3 linked regions of the Drosophila melanogaster genome follow. Changing the gene in region 1 together with any one later gene gives a genetic interaction. Each region holds a gene or a part of one and is shown on either strand. Other genes may lie near its edges.

Region 1 (8,188 bases):
CATAGTGGTTTTTGTTTTAAACATTAATTAAATTTTATTTAGAGGAATTCCCCTTTAATTTATTTGCCTTTTTTTTTCGAAATAGAAGCATCAGCTTATACACCAAAATACTCCATATTAATCCAAGTTTGCCTTGTTTAGCTTAAGTTTTTGTTATTTCATATGAAATAGATTGTCCGACCCAACTTAAACCACTGTGCTAAAGCTCCGTAACACAACTGCATAAATGTATATAACCAAAATCAAATCGTTCATAAAACGCCAATTTGTATATAATTTAATTTACGCACTGTTATTTTTGGTACTTGCAACAGCCCCAATAGCCCCAACACACCGACATCCAATCGTTCCGTCACACACCCAACCAGCAATGCAACATCATACGTTAACTAATTAAGTCCTTATTTTTTACCCCACTATAGAACTCCTCTGCGACGAATAATAAGTACATTCCGCGTCTGGCCGACATCGATTCGAGTGAACCTCACTTGGAGCTGGTGCCGGATACATGGAACGTGTACGACGTATCCCAGTTCTTGCGGGTGAACGATTGCACAGCCCACTGTGACACGTTCAGCCGGAACAAGATCGACGGAAAGCGACTCCTGCAGCTGACCAAGGACGATATCATGCCACTGTTGGGCATGAAGGTGGGCCCAGCACTGAAAATTTCCGACCTTATTGCACAGCTTAAGTGCAAGGTTAATCCGGGCAGAGCCAGATCCCACAAGACCAACAAATCACCGTTTTTATAGTGCGCGGATTTTAGTTTTTTCAAAGCAAAACGAAAGTTATCACCGATAGAACACACACACACACTTTTATACGTGTACACTACTGCGTATGCATATATAATATATATATATATATATATAGATATATAGATATTGAAGTATTTTGTTAGCACTGGAAATCGAAACACAAACGTTGCCTAGAATGGATCAACCATCCATGATACAATTGTATAACTAACTCAAGTCTCACAGCGCGTTATTTTATACCGATTAAATTGTAAACCGTAGACCTTAGGCGTACGCTCATGTTATATCAGTCAGAGTTCTATATCAACAATTGTATAAAGATGATTGAATTGATGACAGTGACTTTTTTTAAATCACGCATATTTTTATAAAAATAAGAGTAATAACAATGCATGCAACACATGTATTCACATGAATATATGGGGAGATTGCATAGCATGGGCTTGTACAGTGTACATAAAATAAGCCGTCGCCGATTATATAGGACCCAAGAATATCATATTTTATATAGAAGCAAGCGCAAGCAAATAACCCAGGCAGCATGCCCTCAACTTTCAGTCGTAAACGGAGCGATTGGAAGTCGCTCCTAGTCTGTAAGATCCACGATTAACTAGCCGCTCTCTCCTTCGGTTAACTTCGTTCCGGTGTCACACATCTCTGCAAGGAGGGCATTATTGGTGTAAGGCAAACTTTTGAAGAAGGCAACCTTAATGATAAAATATGTATTTAGATATCCCTAAGGTACCAGCTAATGTCAAGATACTTTAATAAAACCGAATTCAAAATTGCAAGTATTGAAATATCGCCGACTAACTTTTATATGTGTTGGTTTTCTTTGGGTTTATATGTGCTCTACAGTCAAAACTCATTTTCATTTCTGTTTTTTTTTTTTTTAGATTGGTTTATATTCTGGATATTAATACACTTTTAAGACATATAGACTAAATTCTTACTGCTATGTTTACACTGCGTTTGGTGGCTATATATTTATGCTAGGTTTCGAATAAACATTTCAAACACGCACACCAAATTTCCAACTCTTATGAATATTTTGAAATCCATGCGCTGTTACATTTTGATGTGGGTGCGAGTGTATAAATGTTAAAAAATAGTTGCCATAACCGATAGAAATATAAAATGGTAAGGAGATAACACAAAAAAGTAGAAAAAGAATCATGTACAATACAAATTAGGGGCGAGTGCTTATATACAGAGTGTTTGTGTCTAGTTTTTAACTAAAACTAACGTATTTTTCCGTTTGCATTTGCATAGTTTTGAATATGTTACGCTTAGAACTAGATTTAAAGTTGAGGCGCTGCTTCTCTTTGAATACAAAGAAATCCTGCTTTCTAAAGGATTTTCAACTTTCCGCTTATCTCTTTAGTTTGTCTAAAAAGGCCTCAATAACAACTTAATATAATAAAATACTAACATTTACAGCGTTTCGTTTTGAAAAAGAGAGATAATAAATAAACTAAGAGTTTTTCAAAAATATCAAAACGGGATTGGGCATAAGGGGTTGGTGGTAAAGCAACGAGGGTCAGATCTCTAAAGCCTCGAATTGAGTAAACTAGTGGATCCGGTTTCATTTCTTGAAAACTTCGTGATACCGGGAATTGAAGTGTTCTCATATTCTAAATAAATAACAAGTAAACGGTTTACCGTTTCCGATTCCAGTACCTTTCCGGGGAATGAAATTGGTAACATGGCCCTCGGCTACGATTTCGCAGCTTCTCTGTTTACAAGTTGGCTTGAATTGCATTTAAAATAAATACTACACTACTAGCAGGGGCTAAGATTACGTTTACACTGCTGCTAACTGTCCTGGAGGCGGACTCTCCTCAGATCTTTCTATTTGGGTCTGCTGCTTATTTTCCTCACTTGGTCGCCGCTTCTTTAGTGGGGGAATTTCCGTTTCAATAGCGGGCGTTGGCTGCTGTTCTATAATGCAGGCGGTTCTTTTCTGGCCGGGACTGCTGTTGGGCAGCGGTTCGTTGGATCCATTCACTATATCGGTGACTATGTGAGCCTCCAGTGAAGGCGGTAGCAATGGTGACAATGGAACGGCGTTCAGATCACATGCATCCTCATCATCATCCTTATAATTGTGCCCCACATTGCCAAAGAGATCACTGTGTCTATTGTGTGATCTTTCCTCTTCTTCGTCATCATCATCGCTGTAATCGTTGTCCCAGAATACCTGGGCTCCTGGAAACACATACGAATAGTTGTTGGTGTGCGAATAGAATGTTCCAGGCTGCAGACGCTCGGCTGCTGTCTGTCGCTTTCCCCTCTGTTGTGGAATGGGCGTCAGGCTGGGCGCCACTGTCTTGGTCTCCTGAACAAGATTGCTGGGTCGCACGTAGCTAGGCGTGGCTTCGTTGTCGCACTGCTCGATGCCGCTATCCTTGGAGGAATCAATGGAAAGATGGCGATAGCTCTCCACCGTTGTCTGAGGGCCTTCCAGGCCCAGACGATCGCAACTTAGGGCTGTGGTCTCGTTCAGCTCAACCAGTATGTCTGTTTTAATACGTTCGATGGCTGCCGCTTCGGCGGCAGTGGAACGCTTTCCACAGCTAAAAGTAGATGACTCAAATCCACTATCCGAGCAGGTGCCAGCTGATCCTAGTATGTAGTCCGCCGAACTATTTGATTTAATAGACTGCGTATCCGTGTCCAGTTGCGACTGTCGCTCGCTCTCTGAACTGCAGTGGCGGTGGTGAAGTAGATGATGATGGAGGTGGTGATTAGAGTGCTCCGGAGGCATTAGCTCCTTGCTTTCGGTAAGCACTGACTCATCGCAGCACAGCTGCCGCCAGCAATCATCGTTGTCCGACAACCGGTGGCAAATCTGGTTGATGATCACATCGGAGTCGCCCAGCAGCTCCACATCGAACTTAAGGTGATGCAGCTGCTCGCGATTGATAAGAATCTGCGGCACCGTGGCCGGTATGCTGCTGGGAATGTGGGCCACAGGTCGGACCTTCAGCGAGGAGCCGATCACGATCAGTAGATCGCACACGTCCTTGTCGGTGGCCATGACCGTGTGGTACTCATCCGGCAGTCCTGTTGGCAATATGAAAAGCAAACACAATATGATATATGGTAAATAGCGTTACTTTGTATTTTCAATAGTTTATCTCTTAAATAAACACTTCTTTTGATCGTCGAATTTGAAATTCTTGCATTTATTTTACCAAGGCTATTGATAATATATAATAAATCTGTATAAAAATGGCACCTACCCTCGCCGAAAAAGACGATATCCGGCTTCATGATGCCGTTCTCGACCAGTTGGCGCAGCTCCTCCTCAGTAACGGCCACCGAGGCATCCACGCTCTGCTCCTTATTGGGCTGGCACTGCGGGCACACCGGAATTCGCTGGGCAAATATGTCCGCCCGCAGGGCGTCAGCGTTGCACTTGAAACGACACTTGGTGCACGAGGCCGTTGAAAAGGAGCCGTGACACTCGATTACTCGCTGAATGCCTGCCACCCGCTCGAGGGTGTCGATGTTCTGTGTGTAGTTGCGCAACAGTTTGCCCTTGGTCTCCAGCATTTTGATGAAACGATGGCAGGGTGAGGGCTGAAACTCGCCGGGATATATCTCGCGGGCAAACTTGTAGAACGGTCGTGGATCCCTCTTGAAGTAGTTGATATCAAACATGGCCTGCGGATCGGGCAGATCGGGAAAATCATGGGCCAATCGCGCATATATGCCATTGGTGGACCGGAAGTCCGGAATGCCGCAGGAGACGGATACTCCGGCTCCCGTTAGCACAATGATCTTCTGTGATTTCTTGACCAAACTGATGACATCGTCGAAGGTGTTCACTGAGGCCAGCTTGTTGCGCCGCTTCGGCTCGTTCAACAGGTGGGCCAAATAGTCCCACAGCACGGAGTCGTCGGTGTCGCCCGCCAGGCCGGTGGCGAAATGCGGCATAATGCTGGCAATAACCTGGCGCGGCACACGACCTGTGTAAAATTCTCGTTGCAACCAGCGCAGCTTCCAGTCGGGTTCCACGGATGAGGAGCAATTTGAGCTGGAGTCCTCATCCTCGTTGCTCGTTCCGGTGATTCCCTCCTCGTCGTCCTCCTCCTCCTCCTCATCGTCCTCTTCCTCCTCCTCCTCGTCATCTTCATCCTCGCCCATTGACTTTGTGGGATTTTTGGTTTTATGCTCCAAATTGGCGCCAATCTCTTGTTCTTCCCTGGCAGCCAATGTTTTTGTTTTGATTTCACCATTTGCTTTGCCAGCAAGTTCGCTTGTTGCTGGTTCTGTGGTTGTTGCTGTTGCTTCTGCCTCTGCCTCTGCCTCTGTTGACGTTGAGGCCAGAATTTCCGCGCCAAAATCAAACTTAGTTGGCGGATAGAATTGCGTAGTGTCTGGCACCTGGTTGCCCAGATCTTTAGACCTAATGTGGCCCAGGCGAATTTCCTCGTAATTTTCCATCATTTTTTCCGAACCCAAGCGCGCGCACACGCGCACACACACAGACTCACGGAGAGAAAACTCTCGTAGTTGGTGCTGTTGCTGGCTCTTCTTCTTCTTGCGCGAGTGTTTCCTCGGTCTCTCCGCTTTGCGCTCTCGCCTCGTCCGTTTTCTCCGCTCTTTCGTTGGTACACACAAAAATTTTTACGTCGTCAGCTTCGCACCCATTTGGCTTGATTGAAAAAATTCTCCAGCGATCGTTTGGCCGCGATTTTTTCAACCAACCCGACTTTATTTCACGTATATGCACGAAACTTAAATTTTAAAAAAATTTCGACACCATTTGGTTGCGATTTTTTCGTAATTTTCGAGCGTAGTTTCTGGAAAATTTTCCGATGAAAAAAGCAAGATGGCACACGTAGCTGCGCCTGTGTGTGTATGTGGGCTGGCAGACGTGATTCGGGTGGGACCCTGACACGTCGTGTGGAAAGTGCTAACGCGTTTCTGCATGGAAAGTGCCGCCAGCATGACTCATCACGGTATGTTTTTAGTATTTTTTGGGATTTTTGAGGGTGATTACGTGTTGCTACAGTGGCCACTGCCTTATGTCATATCTAATTTAATCCATTTCTTTAAAAACTGTTTAAAATATATCAATAATTTGTCAAAAAGTTAGTAAAATTAATTTTAAATTATGCTTCGAACTTTAATTTTAGCACTCTTTTACTTATCAAATTTACTCGATATTTAAACAATTAAGTAAAAATAATTTTTTTGTCCAATATTTACACATTTCATAGTAGTATTATAAATTGATGTATTGATAATATGCAGTTCATATGTCCAAAAACTTCCATCAAGCTGTTAAATACAAAAATGTGTAAACAGATTTCCAGAACGTTCCAGCAAGTGTCTACTGTTCCCCAAAAAAGCTGCGATTTTAAGTATTTATTTGGTACTTTCCCCAAAATTATAGGTTTTTGGTAGAACTTGGGCATACTTGTTAGCCAATATGACTTGAAAATATTGTCATAAATACATTGTTAAATAATTTAATAAGTCGTACACTTACAATGTACAAAATATTTTAGTTTGTAGGGGGACTGGGGATGCAATAGGAAATGGACAACCTAAATTTATACGACGTTCTTAAAGTGGCTCCGGATGCAACTGATGAGGAAATAAAAAAGGTATGTAACAGTTCCAATTCGATATGTTGGTAAATAGTTTGTATTCACCTTTTCACCAATAGAACTACCGAAAATTGGCAAAAGAGTTCCATCCAGACAAGAATCCCGATGCGGGCGACAAGTTTAAAGAAATATCCTTCGCCTACGAAGTGCTGTCCGATCCCGAGAAGCGGCGCATCTACGACCGATATGGATTGAAGGGCCTGCAAGAGGGCGCCGAGGGATTCTCTGATGCCTCCGAATTCTTCGCCCAGTGGTTCCCCTTCGATCGAGTCTCGTCCGAAGGTCGGGGCAGGCGCAATGGCAAAGTCGTGGTAAAAGTGGAGCTGACCCTGGAGGAGATCTACGTCGGCGGCATGAAGAAGAAGGTGGAGTACAATCGCCAGAAGCTGTGCTCCAAGTGTAACGGCGATGGCGGTCCCAAGGAAGCGCACGAGAGCTGCGAGACCTGCGGCGGAGCTGGACGAGCGGCCGCATTTACCTTCATGGGTCTCAGCCCCTTCGATACGGTATGTAAGAATTGATTGTAGTTGTAGTGAATGCACACCGCGGACCACACATCCGTGGAGATCCCATATACCACACTTCGGAGCAGATTATTTAAATTATTTTTTTTTGCAGACCTGTCCGACTTGCGATGGCAGGGGCTTCACCATAAGGGACGACAAGAAGTGCAGTCCCTGCCAGGGCAGTGGTTTCGTAGAGCAGAAGATGAAGCGGGACCTGGTTGTGGAGCGAGGAGCACCGCACATGCTAAAAGTTCCCTTCGCAAATGAGGGCCACCAAATGCGAGGCGGCGAATTTGGGGATCTGATTGTAGTCATCTCCCAGATGGAACATCCAATCTTTCAGCGCCGCCATGCCAATCTGTACATGCGAGACCTGGAGATCAACATCACGGAGGCCTTGTGCGGCTACTCGCATTGTTTCAAGCACTTGGATGGACGAAACGTCTGTCTGCGCACGTACCCTGGTGAAGTGTTGCAGCACAACCAGATCAAGATGGTGCGAGGCAGTGGTATGCCTGTTTTTAACAAGGCCACCGACAGTGGAGATCTCTACATGAAGTTTAAGGTTAAGTTTCCGGACAACGACTTTGCCACGGCACCGCAGTTGGCCATGCTGGAGGACTTACTCCCTCCCAGACAGCCGATAGTGATCCCAAAGAACGCCGAGGAAGTGCAAATGACGGACTATAAGCCGCAGCCACGACAGCAGGAAGACGAGGACGGACAGTCGTCTCACTTTGAGGGCGTACAGTGCCAGACGGCTTAGTGCATGTGGTTGTGGCTCCTGCAGGCGCGGTATCTCTGCCTCGATTTGTGGCTCATCCTGGGCACTTTCAGCGTAGATGAAGTCTGCTTCCTGGTGCCGCTGTTCGTCCTGATATGCATAGTATTATTTTTCATACAGGAATGTTTGCTGTGAAAAGCGCGTGATCTAAATTCGTAGTGTTATTATTCGAGACTAAAGCTTAGCTGATCTGTCACTAATACATTAGCCACGCTAAATTAACTATTAACTACTTATTTATTGGTACCTATTTTTTGGGCTGAACTTGCCCCAATTATCCCTACAAAACTATAAACGAATACACAATAATAGTTCTCTCATAGAAATCTTAAAAACCGGATAAATTTAAATCGATTTACGTATTTTTATTTAATTTTTAATATTGTTGCTGAGAATTGAGTATTCAAAGATTCGAAAGATCCGTTTTAATCGCTTTCATTGGATTCATCAGCGGATGTCGTTTCGTCTGATTGACCACCATCTGTCTTGGTCAAATTCATAGGCGACCCTTTG
Region 2 (5,971 bases), on another chromosome or scaffold:
TACAACAAGCAGCTATTCTACGTGAGTAGTGGTTTCAGTGGTCATATAGCCAAATATACAATTGGTATCTCTAATCTTCAGGAGCTGCTGGAGATACTTATGATTGAGTTCTTTCCTGAAATCCGACAATTGCGCGTCAGCAACTCCAATGGAACCAAGTTAAATACGGCTACTGCTGGAGCGGCAGCTGCATCCGCCGCTGCGGCACTGGTGGCTGCCACGGCATCAGCTTCGCTGCCCTCGCTTAATCATAGTGGTGGGGGTCACAGTGCATCCACGGGGGGTCACCAAAACCATCAGGGATCCTCGTCGGCCAGCGGATCCTCAGCTGGCGCGAGTGGCGCCACCGGTGGTGGTGCCGCCTCGCACCACCAATCGCATTACCACCACGGATCCCACCACCACCAGCAGCAGCAGCACCACCATTCGCAAGCGGGCAGTTCGAAGTGAAGTGAACTTAAGAAGAACCACTTCGTTTTAGATTTTACTTTAACCTAAACCCTTTTTTTTATTTATGTTATGTTTTGTTTGATTTTATGTTCAATGTTTAATGCTCTCCCTCTTTCTAACCGGTGGATATTGTTGATTTAGCCGAGGAAAGGGATTACAAAGAATAGTTATGTAGAACACAACACAACTCAGTAGTACCAGTATCATTCCCTGTACAAATGCAGACTTACAATCCATATGAATTCAGTTCTTGTTGATTCGTTCGTCCATCACTTCCTGTAGCCAGATTTGTTTGTTATGTGTATATGTCTGTACATAGGTCAGTATTAAGCGTTGTACCAAATCGTTGTTTATATACTCGTATAGTAAATTGTGACACTCAGTTTGGATTGATTTTAATTATAGTTTAGTAGCAGATATTGAGCCCAAAGTTGCGTCTGCAGCTGGCGTTGAGTCGGTGCTTGTGATTCCCATGCCGCGCCAGCTGTAGATCCATCCTCCCCCCAAAAATATTATAGAAACACAACAGGTGAGATTAGTTTGAGGCAAGCTAATGGGCGTCCAGAACAGTGCGTTCCATGGCCATAAAGCAACTTCCGTATTGACACACATTGTATTCTTTTTCGAATTTGTATTAAAATGATTCAATTGTTGCACATCGATAACCATCAATTAAAAATTGTATTTGAAATTTCCTAATTGACCAAAATTGGTAATGGTATCAAATAATCTTAAAGACTAAGCGTTGATTGAGGCTGTCTTAAAAAACAGAACGTTTGATAACACAATAAAACAGTCGCAAGTCAGGACTTTAAAGAAGCATTAATCCTTAAGCATTTGTGGTTATCCAAATGCATTTTGATACCATGTTAAAACACACAACTCGAAATTACAACATTTAGAATTGACCCAAAATCAGTTTTGTGGACCTGAAACGCCCCGTAGACACCCACCCACCACCACCACGACCCAAAGACACCGGCACCTTCTGTAACACTAGGCAAAATGACACTTAGATGATTCATCCCCAATGAGCCAAACGTATCCCACTTAGGACCCACATTAAGAGTTTCGAGGCGCTTTCAATCTATTTATGTATTGCAGTTGTACACTTTTATGTGAAAATGCGAAATAAAGATCGCTATTTATGTAGATGGTTCACCAGTATTTTGATGGGACCACCCCACATACACTTAGAAAACGACCATATTTGCGACAAGCTTTTCCAGGGGAATGGCTTGCATGTCGACGACCACAATGACGAGATGATTGCGCACTCCCACCGGCTTTTTGATCATCAATCTTACCTCGAAGTATTTCAGCAGAAAGCGCCACTTTAGCTCGCTTTTCTCGCGCTCCGCCAGTCGCTCGAAGTCTTCAGCCCGAAGTCCCAGGATACGTTCTGCCGGATGTCCAGCTAACCGGGCTTCGACGAGAGTGCCGGTCTGGTCGGACAAATGAATGTTGATATTGAAGTAGCTAATGGATCGTGGTTCATCATTGTCCAATGAAAAATACTGCTGGCAGGCGTCCGAGGCGCAATCTTGCAGGTTCCGTGGTATATGTTGTTGACAGGCAATGCTGTAAAATAAAAGGGCTTTTAAGAATATGTCTTGTAAACTATGTAACGGATAGTGGGAAGCGTTTCGGCGGTTAGGAAGGGATGGGGATGTACAACACCCACCACTTCCTGTTGACGTGGGAGGTCAATCCATCCAAGTCGAACTTGGTGACCATCCCATACAGCACTGCAGTAAACTGATGTATGGACGGATCCTGCAGTTCGCCCTCGGCGCGTGAATATATCTGTCTTACCGTCATCTGCGCCTGAATGCTGGCAACTGAAAGAGTTATAGTAAATAATAATACTGCATTAATTATCCTTTACTCACCTGCAGGCATGTTGTCCAGCTCTGCCTGGTCACAGCCACTAAAAGTTGTTAGAGGCACAGTGGCGGCGAAAGCTAGCAAGAGACGGCAATCATCTCCAGCCGCCTGAGGATTTTCGCAAATAAGTGTGCAATTGGAATGGGAGAGGACGAGAGAACGATGAAAGTTCGAGTAGGAAACACGCACGTCGATCAAATGAAGGACAGTGCGACGTGGCTGCCATTGCTGGGCACGTTGTATCCAGTCGGGTTGCCAAACGGAGAGCAGCATACCTTCCGGATAGCTGGCATCGATCACGATTACTTCCAAGCACTGTAGCAGCTCCTGGACCTCACTTAGTGGCCCCTGCAGCTTTCGCTTTATCTGACGCACTGGACGCACTGCAGCCACTACTACCAGTAGATTCACATTGGTGGTGATTATCTTATCGGGAAATCCCAAGCCGGAACGCACATCCGCCAGCTTAAGGACCGCACCAAGTGGCCTTATGGGCTGATGGAGTAACTGCTGGAGAATTGTTATTTGGCCAAAGTCGTCATTGTCGTGGCGCACCACATAGCCGGATCCCTCGTTGACCACCAGGGCGCAGGAGACCGTCGCTTGGGGCTGATAACGCTGTTCTCCCGGAGCAGCAAACGGTATGGACATCACTTTAGCGCCCACAATGTCTACCACATGGCCGATCTGCAGCATGGCCGCGTACTCATCCACACAGTCCCGCTGGCCCCAGCACTTGCAATTGGTCAGGTGATTGGGGGAATCTCGGATGGTCAAGCTGAGAACCCCTCGTTCGGTGCCACTCATCTTGTCATAGAAGATGTTCGGCGAGGATTTGGAGACAATCAGGGCAACGGTGGAGAAACGGGTCATTGTGGGACGCATCTCTGCCAACCGCTGGAACTTAATACGCCTTGCCATTGAAATTATTTAAGAAATCGCGACCAGTCAGATTGCAGTGCTTAAGAAAACCGTTACATTGCCGTTACCGCCGATTAGTAGTTATCGATGTTTGTAGTGATGGTACACCACAAATGGCCGTAGATTCAGTTAGTAACAGAAAGTATTGCTAACAACTTAGTTTGATAAAAACCACAATTAAAACATTTACAGAAAGTTGCGCTTATTAATTGTAACCATTGGAATCGATAATAATCGGATGGCATCCGAATACCAGACGTACCATCCCTAATAAGCTGACACACACTACGCATATGTGCACCCGCGCACACACACACGCACACACAGAGGGGAACGGCACAGATTTACTGCGTTAAACAAACTCACTTGTCGCACTTTTCCACGAATGCCAGTGCGCTGAAAGTGAAACCCATCCGCCGGAGCATAGTAGGATTAGCCAGGACAACCGTTCAGCTCAGTGCCCCAGAAGCATTTAATTGGAGGAGCAACAGTCGAGCAACCCGCGACCCGCAGACCCAGTCTTGGCAGCCCACAGCCACTCAAAATGGTCAAACTATTCGCGTTGAGCATCTTTCACAAGGGCGCCAGCGAGGCGCGTCTCCTGAAGACCGCCTCGGACCTGCAGTCCTTCTCCTTTTTCCAACGTGGCACCGTCAACGAGTTCATGACGTGAGTATGCATGTGGATGCCAAAGAACGGCGCAGGCTCAAAGAGTCATCAATGACGAACACCCCCCTAAACAACTCCTCCTCTTGCAGTTTCGCTTCGAAGACGATTGTGGAGCGCACACAGCCGGCCCTGCGGCAATCGGTGAAACAGGATGCCTACATGTGTCATGTCTATGTGCGGGCGGACAATCTGGCCGGTGTACTGATCGCCGATCATGAGTATCCGCATCGCGTGGCGCACACGCTTATCACAAAGATTCTGGATGACTTTACGGCCAAGGTGTCGGCCGATCAGTGGCCCAATGGCACGGAGGCCACTATCTCATTTGACTTGCTGCCAGCGTTTCTAGCACGCTATCAAAATCCCGTCGAAGCAGATCCGCTGACGAAAATGCAAAACGACCTGGACGAAACGAAGATCATACTGAAGAATACCATCGAGGCGGTGCTGGAGCGGGGCGAGAAGCTGGACGACATGGTCAGCAAGTCGGAGAAATTGTCGCTGCAGAGCAAGGCGTTCTACAAGACGGCGAAAAAGACTAACTCCTGCTGCAGCTTCACCTAGACGACAGCTGCACCTCTCATCACCCCCCACCACACGCTAATCCTCTCAAGCAACAACCACAACAGGAAACACCAGAAAATGCAAATCAAAGACAACACAAAGGATAATGGATAACACGATAACACCAACAAACTACAACCAAACAAACTCCAAGGGAGCGGTGCGACTTGGGCTTTGATGATTGCTTTTTATAAATGAATTAGTTAATTTTATATACTATATATATATATTATATTATATACTGTATGAATAGGATGGCCAGTTGCCAGTTACGATAGTCCGCTAACCCAATGTCTACCTGTCTGTATATGTCTACGCTTTGGATATCTAAATGTTAATTACTACCAATACAGATTACGATCTAAACCCATGTGCTTAACATAATCTTCTCTTCACTTATGTGTTGGCACGGCGGTCCAAAATTGGCCCTTTGCTAGCTATTGATGTTGTGGGCCTTCTTATCGCCTCCACGGCGGATCTATGTATACCAATCGGATCGGAAGGCTGCACCTATGTATACACATGCAGTCGCACTTCCGATCCGGGCAACTGGCGGTCGGAATGTGTGGGCGTTTCAATAAAGAAGTATTATGGGAAATGTGAACCAAGCTCGTTTTCATTGCTCACATATACAAACCTTATCTTTGTCAATTTTGGCAAAATGTACAAACTATTTGTACGAGCTCTGTACATAGCACATGAACTTATTTTTATTTATGTAATACGTACCACTTTATCTTAAGTGCAAATTCCATTCCTCCCAAAAAAGCAAAATCAATTTAAAAGTGATTTTCTGTTGGCGTTTATTTATTATATAGAAGACACCTATTTCGCTTCTTGTAAAGATTTCCGTTACATTTTTCATATTTATGCGTTTTCCTTACGTTTTCGTGTTTAACCTTTTGGATTTTGGTTATGTTTAATGGGTTCGGTTTGTATAGCCTAGTATAAGATAGGTAAATCGATTACAATTTAGTTTTCGCCCCCTCTCCATCGCAATTTTCTTGTGTGTTTGCGCGGGGAGAAAGGGGAGGCGGTGCATTATAAATATATGCATTATACTGCATACCTATATCGTTTCGTTATAATTAATATAATATTGTGTGTGCTAACTTAGCTTAAGCTGCAAACATTGATTCAAACGCGTTTGCTTGGCTTCTCGTTTTTTATTGATTTGCATCAACATTGTATGCATTTTTTTTTTGTGTTAGTGATCTATAGTAATATTTAGAATTTATTCAAATGCTTTCAATATATGCAAGTGTAAATATTAGTCGATGCAATGTTCTAAATGCACGCTCCTTCGAAATGGCTAAGAATTTGCATTTGTGTTTCCTGGTATGTGTATTTTTTCTTCTCAATTTTTTCGCTAAAAATTAGCATTGGTCAACACAACAAATGAAAATCAAGAAAAGTTCTCCCTTCTTTTCAAATCAGTAAAAAATACGTGTGTATGTGCGGCTGGATGAGTTTTGTATTC
Region 3 (6,705 bases), on another chromosome or scaffold:
GCTGGCAAGCCTGCGAATCTGAGTGTCATCCAAGTGGCAACTAAAAGAATCGGTATGGATGACTCTGCTCCCATGTTTGTGGAGAACAAGGAGCTGAAGCTAAAGAAGAAAAAGAAGAAGAATAAGAACAAGCAGAAGGTCAAGAAGCCCAGTGAAGAAGGTGTCCTGGTTCCGGTAGCCCAGGGTGCTCAGCAATCGCAGCAGAAGATCAAGATACCCACTACTCCGCGCACCACAACTACGTCCACCACCACAGAGGCACCTATTACTCTGACCCCATTGGATCAGTTGGCAGAGGCTAGTGATGAGGCAGGAACCGGGAAAGATGTGGAAAACTACTGCAAAACGCCAAGTGGAAGGCGAGGACGTTGCGAGGATCTCAGCAGTTGTCCCGCTCTGCTGCTGAATCTCAGCAGCTTGAGAGAGTCCCTGTGCTTCAAGAGTCTCTATGTGCCGGGCGTGTGCTGCCCCATTTCCTCATCCTCCACTGTTTTGACCACTCAGAAACCTCTGAGGCTGACCACTCGTCCCACGACGACCACCAGCACCACCAAGGCTACGCAACCCACGAAGAAAAGCACTGTTCGACCCACCACGCGCCCCACATCTGGTCTCGTGCTCATTCCCCAGAAGAAACCGCCCACTACCACGACGACCACCACGACGGAGGTGCCTCTGGAGCCGGAGGGTCTGGACGAGATCGGCAACAACATTGTGGACCCCGATGAGTGCGGTCAGCAGGAGTACTCAACTGGTAGGATTGTGGGCGGAGTGGAGGCTCCGAATGGTCAGTGGCCATGGATGGCAGCCATTTTTCTCCATGGACCCAAGCGCACGGAGTTCTGGTGCGGTGGTTCGTTGATTGGCACCAAATATATCCTGACAGCTGCGCATTGTACGCGGGACTCGCGTCAAAAACCGTAAGTCATAGTGAGTCCTGCATTTGATGGGCACTAATATCGACTTTTTCTTCTAGATTTGCTGCTCGACAGTTTACGGTTCGCTTGGGTGACATCGATCTGTCAACGGATGCGGAACCCTCTGATCCCGTGACCTTCGCCGTCAAGGAAGTGCGCACCCATGAGCGGTAGGTTATGGACCTCCTAATGTGAATAGTATTGGTAACGTGTGTATCCTCAGATTCTCCCGCATTGGATTCTACAATGACATTGCCATCCTTGTTTTGGATAAGCCCGTGAGGAAATCAAAGTATGTAATCCCTGTCTGCCTGCCAAAGGGAATCAGGATGCCGCCCAAGGAACGGCTTCCCGGACGTAGAGCCACCGTTGTGGGCTGGGGCACCACCTACTACGGTGGTAAGGAGTCCACCAGCCAACGACAGGCGGAACTGCCCATTTGGCGGAATGAGGATTGCGACCGCAGTTACTTCCAGCCTATCAACGAGAACTTCATCTGCGCAGGATACTCCGATGGCGGAGTGGATGCTTGTCAGGTGAGTTAATAAAGGAGTTTCCATTCATAGAGGATCAAAACTAATTTAACCGTTTTGCAGGGCGATTCTGGCGGTCCTTTGATGATGCGATATGATTCCCACTGGGTTCAACTGGGAGTGGTGTCCTTTGGCAACAAGTGTGGTGAGCCGGGATATCCAGGTATGTTGCGCTACAGAAACATTACTTTAAAGAGCATTTACTAATTTTTATGCCCATCCAGGTGTCTATACTCGAGTCACTGAATACCTTGACTGGATACGCGATCACACGAGGGATTAATCGCATTCCCGTTCCACCGATCCACCTTAGCAGTAACTATAGCCTAGGTTTAGGTACGCACTAGTCTATGTACTCTTAATGAACTTCCCCTCCTGATCAATGGAGTGTACTATTTATTAACCGCATCCCATCGCCATGATGATTGGCATTTGTTGACTAAATTAATATATATATTATATTTAATTTTGATAAATAAAATGTGTAAACAAAATATAGAGTGTTTCAAGACACCGGAAATTCGTAGATATAATATTTTGGTATTTCAAGCTGCTGCTTACTTACTAATTACTGTGACTTACTAATTAACTGTGTCTTGCTAACTAGTAATACATCCTATTAGCAGCTAGCATTCCCTAGCAAGATTTTCTTAAATGATAGCCTGAATTTATATGGTATATGGTGATTTTAAAATCATTTTCCATATATGGTCATATGCTCTGCAGCAGTAGGAGAAAATTCGCTGTATTGTAGTGGTTGAAATCGTAAAATGATCTTACGCAATCAAAAGCCAATGATCCAAAGCTAATTGACTTTGGATAAAACAATAGTAATCGTTTCAGTTTATATGAATCGAAGCGTGGGAGCGGCAAACAATTATTTACAGTTTGTAACTTTTGGAATTACGAGTGTCAATGAAATAAAGTGGGGGGATTTAATTCTATAATTTCGATAGCTATGCCCCTTTGTTCAGACATTCTGGAAACTATCAATGGGGAAGTGACTAAATGATAGATAAGTTTCATTCATTATTATTTATCACTTACTGGGAACTACTTGGTAAACAAACGTGAGCAATTGCATAAGGCTTTTTTCTCGATGCCGGTTCTCTCAGTTGGCATTAAGCTTTCACAGCTGACGGACGCGAATTGTTCCCTCCAACCGGCGAGTTCTTTAAGTTTCTCGGGAATGTTTGTATTATCTCAAAAAATTGACTACATCAACGAATTCTAAGTGGTATAATTACAGTTTGTGCTTGCTGTGAAGATTTACAGCTCGAATAAATCATAATATTGTACAATTAACGCTGATAATCACGAATTTGACATTGCTACCACATTCGGTGCGTGGACTCTGAAAGCTCTGAGTGTTTTGTTTATGCAAAGCTTTTTTGGACTATCGCGTGGTAAGTAGCCGAAAGAGAAAGCTCTCTTATACGGAAGATGAAGAGTGTGATTCATGAAAATGTATAAGAACGCGGGTCCAAAAAGTCAAGGGAGTTCTAGTGAAATGAAAAGTTCCAAAGGTTTTGAAATCGTTTTATTTTCTCGTTCGTATAATTATTGGGTGTCGATCTTTGTTGGGCAGTGTAAAGCACAAACTTTGAGCTTCATCATACATATCATATGTAAAGCCGGGACGAAAGCTTATGATTCTGTTAAGTGTCCGCCCAAGATAACATTTCTCCAGCCCTTCAAATCTTCAAATAAATACGGCTTAAGGCGAGCAAATTTGTAAATCAAATGATTTGTTAAATAAACATTATATGTATTTTATCATGCCAGGTTAGAACACATTGTGCTGATGCAAATAAAATTCCAATTAAACGCCCCTGAATGGGAAGATGACGCATCTTTAATGTGAATATTATGTTAAATTTAATATTATCGCAAAATAACTATAATAATGAAATAAAAAAAGACAAAAAACTATTTCGACTGTTCCCGCCCGGGTTCGAACCGGGGACCTTGTGCGTGTGAAGCACACGTGATAACCGCTACACTACGGAAACTCTTAAGAGATGGCCGGTTAAGGCCAGCCAGAGGCAAACCAATGAAAATGGAATTATGTTTCTATTTTTAGCCTGACGTGATTAGTTTATCTCAATGTTTCAGGTAATAAAAATTGAAAAGATTTACGGAGAAAGTTATAGTACGTTTATGAGAAGAAAGGTTAAATACCTTTGGATCGTGAGTTTGTGCCATCTTAGAATAACATTGGCCCCGGCTTGGCAGCAACAATGAAAACCCATTTCTTCGCCTTGTCATTCCGCTCTTAATTAGCCTTTATTTGTCCCCTCTTCACGGAGCCCCACAATTGGCCGGCATTTGTGCTTGTGAATAGAAGGGCCTGGGAAAGGGGCAAGGTAAGGCAAGGCATTCATGGCATGCCTGAAACACGCTGACCAGATTACCAACCAGAGCGCCAAGGGGCCAGGAGCGAAGCACACTGTGGGTGGGGTGCTCCGATGGCCCACCTTTAAATAAATTCGAGCACGCTGATCCTTGATTAAAATTCCTATTGTCTGCTTTGGTCCTGCCAAGATTTCCTCCCCTTTCAGGCTTTCAGGACTCCGCTTTTGTGCGGCGCCGTGAACGTAATTAATATGCAGGCCAGAACGGACTCTAACTGCTCTCTGGCACTCGTTATAATTACGCATTTAAATTGGCACAAAGGTTGAGGCCAGACATAACACACTTGGCAAAATAAAGTTATTTTTATAACTCATTTACTTGTTAGCTAATTATGTTTGATTTATAAACGCAAATTAAATATGCTTTTTTGTTTTTAAATAGTATTTTTATCGGAAAAACTTTCAAGTATTCAATGGTGTTTTCTCTCAGTGTCAGTAAATCCAAGAGCTTAGCCAAGAAGCGTCCACAAGGAAGCGCCTTCAACTCTTGCGTTGAATATGTATGTGCGCCAGTATATGTGTGCGTGTGTGTGTGTATGTGTTATGAGTTGGTGTTGGTGCACGGCCCCATAAATTTGGGTCAATGGGAAAAACGTCAGAATTGAGTAATTACAACATAATTTTCAATTTTGCAGTTTACGTTGTAAATTAATTTGCGGTCGACATTGGCGAAGCAGCCTCCGATCATTCCATCCCCTTTTTGCCTCAGCTTAGGCTGATTCGTGACGGCTTTTCGGGTGGGGTTCTTTGGGTTCCGAGCTCCGGCCTTTGAATTGGGATCGGGATTGGGCTTTGGTGTGGGTTTGGGGGATTGCACAACAATTAAAGCAACAATTACTGGACAAACCGGACGGCAGACGCCGGACTTAGCGTTGTTGTGCTGCGCCATAGTACATGGAAAATGTACATATACTGTTGTCTTTGCCACACGGGTCGCCGTTCGCCGGTTGGGGGTCATCTGTTTGTTGTGCATAATTAATTTGCAGTCATTCAGGCTGCCTCGCGTGCTGATACCCAGTAGCTAAAAGGCCAATCAGTTCGGCATACTGAATTGTCACGCAGGTTCACTGCTTTGGAGGTTCATTTCAAAAATCTATTGTAAATTCAATTGGCAAGGAAAGCATTAGATAGCTACTGAAAGTCAATCATTAGCGGCATTTAATTATTTGAACAGCATATTTAAAAGAAAGCTAGTTATGGCGGAATTTAAAATTATCTTACTCAATTTCTCCAAATGTCTTCTTTGGGTTTAAGATCCTGTTTCAAATTTTTTGAGCCTGATTAAAAAGATTTCATCTATTTGAACATGTTTTGTGTCCTTATACCTAAATGAAAAACGCGTTTAAAGGTGTCCTTTCGGGAACTTCGAGTAACAGAAGATCGACTTTGTTTTCCTGTTCTTTGGCAGTAGTACTTGTATTTTTAAGAGTGACAAAATAGTTTCCTCATCTCCATTATCAGCAGACCCAGGGGTGTTCTGCTCTCTGCACAAAACTGTTTACGATTTTACAGCTGAATGGATTTTAATTGAAAGACACGCTAGTGTCAATGGCACTCGACGAGGGGAGCCAAAGGGGACTTGGGGATGGGACTTTTGGGATATGTGTACGGTTTTCCCAGGGTAGGGCAGTTGCCAGCAGCTGTGACAAGATTTCGGATCATGTGGGTGGCGCCCGGCTTATGCAGAGTCGAGCACAGTCGAGTCGCCCGTTGCAATAAAAAATTGACCCGAAAATGTGTAACAAATGTTGTGACATATTTTCGCAACGTTTGCTAAGGCCCTCGCCAAAAAAAAAAGAAAAAACACAAAACGATTGCGAACCCGCTGCCAATGATCCTGAAAAGCGCAAGCTGAAAGAGTCTCTGAAAGGATGCTCTGAATGGGTTTTTCCCAGTTTCGGGTGAAAATCGGTTTCGGGCAACATTTGTTTTGGCCCACATATAACACAAAGTGTGTACAAAAATGAATATGAAAGAGGGGGTCGTCGGGCTTGTCCTGGAACTCTGTAACTGTAAATGTAACTGCAGCATGGCATGAACTTAATCTGCTGCCGATTGTTTTCCTTGCTTTTCCAACAGTAGGCGGTGGGTGGTGTTCAGTGGGCGGCGGGCGGTTTTGTTGCTCAATTTGTACTGAGGGACTATGGAGCGGGCTACTTGGGGCGACGAAGACCCAAATACGGCGCGTTTTCAATATTGCGGCAACAATTTTCATGGATTTTACGCTTTCTTTGTTTTTGCTTTGTTTTTGGCTTGTTTGTATTTGGCAACTCGGTAATAATGAAACCAGCTATTGGGAACAGCTCCGGTGGGTGGTGGGTGGTGGGTGGTGCTTGGTGGGCGGTGGGTGTGTTCATTTAATTGAAAACAAGGCGTGGCAGCGGCAGCGTCGGCAGCACTTAAACCGAAATTGAGAACAGATGGAATGGCAAGCGAAAAACTTACAATAATTGCCCACAACAGTTTGAAATTGAACGAAGCCACTCAAATGGACTGAAGTCCCGGCAGTTTCGGTTAACTGGGATGATTACCATCGACGGCAGATAAAGTTTCCGCAGCCACTTAATGGGTTATTTATGGAGTTTCCCTTCCACCGGTTGAGTGCTAAAAAACTAATTAAATTATACAATCAAAATTTTCTTCATATTTCATGGAAAAAACATTTGCACTTTGCAGGGGAAAATGAAGGAAGGAAAAAGTTCTCGACTTTTGCAGGGTTTGGTTATAAAAGAAATACGAGTAGTCCAACCTGTTTGGGATTCCATCCGCTTTCTTAGTTGTACACTAATTAGTCGCCTTTTTCAAAAAGGTAACTCTGAACTTTTATTAAGGATAGCACAG

The links. A genetic interaction does not mean that the proteins touch.
Region 2: of Sirt1 (region 1) and hdm, changing one suppresses a phenotype caused by changing the other (phenotypic suppression), as found in Drosophila melanogaster (one study listed by BioGRID).
Region 3: of Sirt1 (region 1) and Naam, changing one suppresses a phenotype caused by changing the other (phenotypic suppression), as found in Drosophila melanogaster (one study listed by BioGRID).

The regions. Positions count from the first base shown.
Region 1 is NT_033779.5:13,163,019-13,171,206, reverse strand, and holds Sirt1 (sirtuin 1), read right to left. Parts: upstream 5,644-8,188; 5' UTR 5,217-5,643; coding exon 4,007-5,216; intron 3,828-4,006; coding exon 2,566-3,827; 3' UTR 1,656-2,565; downstream 1-1,655. Other genes in the region: Sfmbt (Scm-related gene containing four mbt domains), read left to right, coding at 423-755; DnaJ-H (DnaJ homolog), read left to right, coding at 6,314-6,382, 6,445-6,891, 7,004-7,657; kmg (kumgang), read right to left, coding at 8,101-8,188. UniProt on the Drosophila melanogaster protein: NAD-dependent histone deacetylase involved in heterochromatic silencing. Mildly suppresses the heterochromatin-mediated silencing phenomenon known as position-effect variegation (PEV). Required for epigenetic silencing of the polycomb group proteins.
Region 2 is NC_004354.4:7,916,874-7,922,844, forward strand, and holds hdm (hold'em), read right to left. Parts: upstream 3,259-5,971; coding exon 2,343-3,258; intron 2,292-2,342; coding exon 2,135-2,291; intron 2,032-2,134; coding exon 1,644-2,031; downstream 1-1,643. Other genes in the region: snz (snazarus), read left to right, coding at 1-21, 82-450; YKT6 v-SNARE, read left to right, coding at 3,803-3,927, 4,017-4,491. UniProt on the Drosophila melanogaster protein: Single-stranded DNA-binding protein required for meiosis. May be involved in the resolution of recombination intermediates into crossovers in the meiotic recombination pathway.
Region 3 is NT_033777.3:19,668,888-19,675,592, forward strand, and holds the start of Naam (nicotinamide amidase), read left to right. Parts: upstream 1-2,562; 5' UTR 2,563-2,856; intron 2,857-3,389; exon of another isoform or gene 3,390-3,462; intron 3,463-6,705. Other genes in the region: CG7432 (uncharacterized protein), read left to right, coding at 1-920, 977-1,087, 1,141-1,453, 1,514-1,613, 1,675-1,733.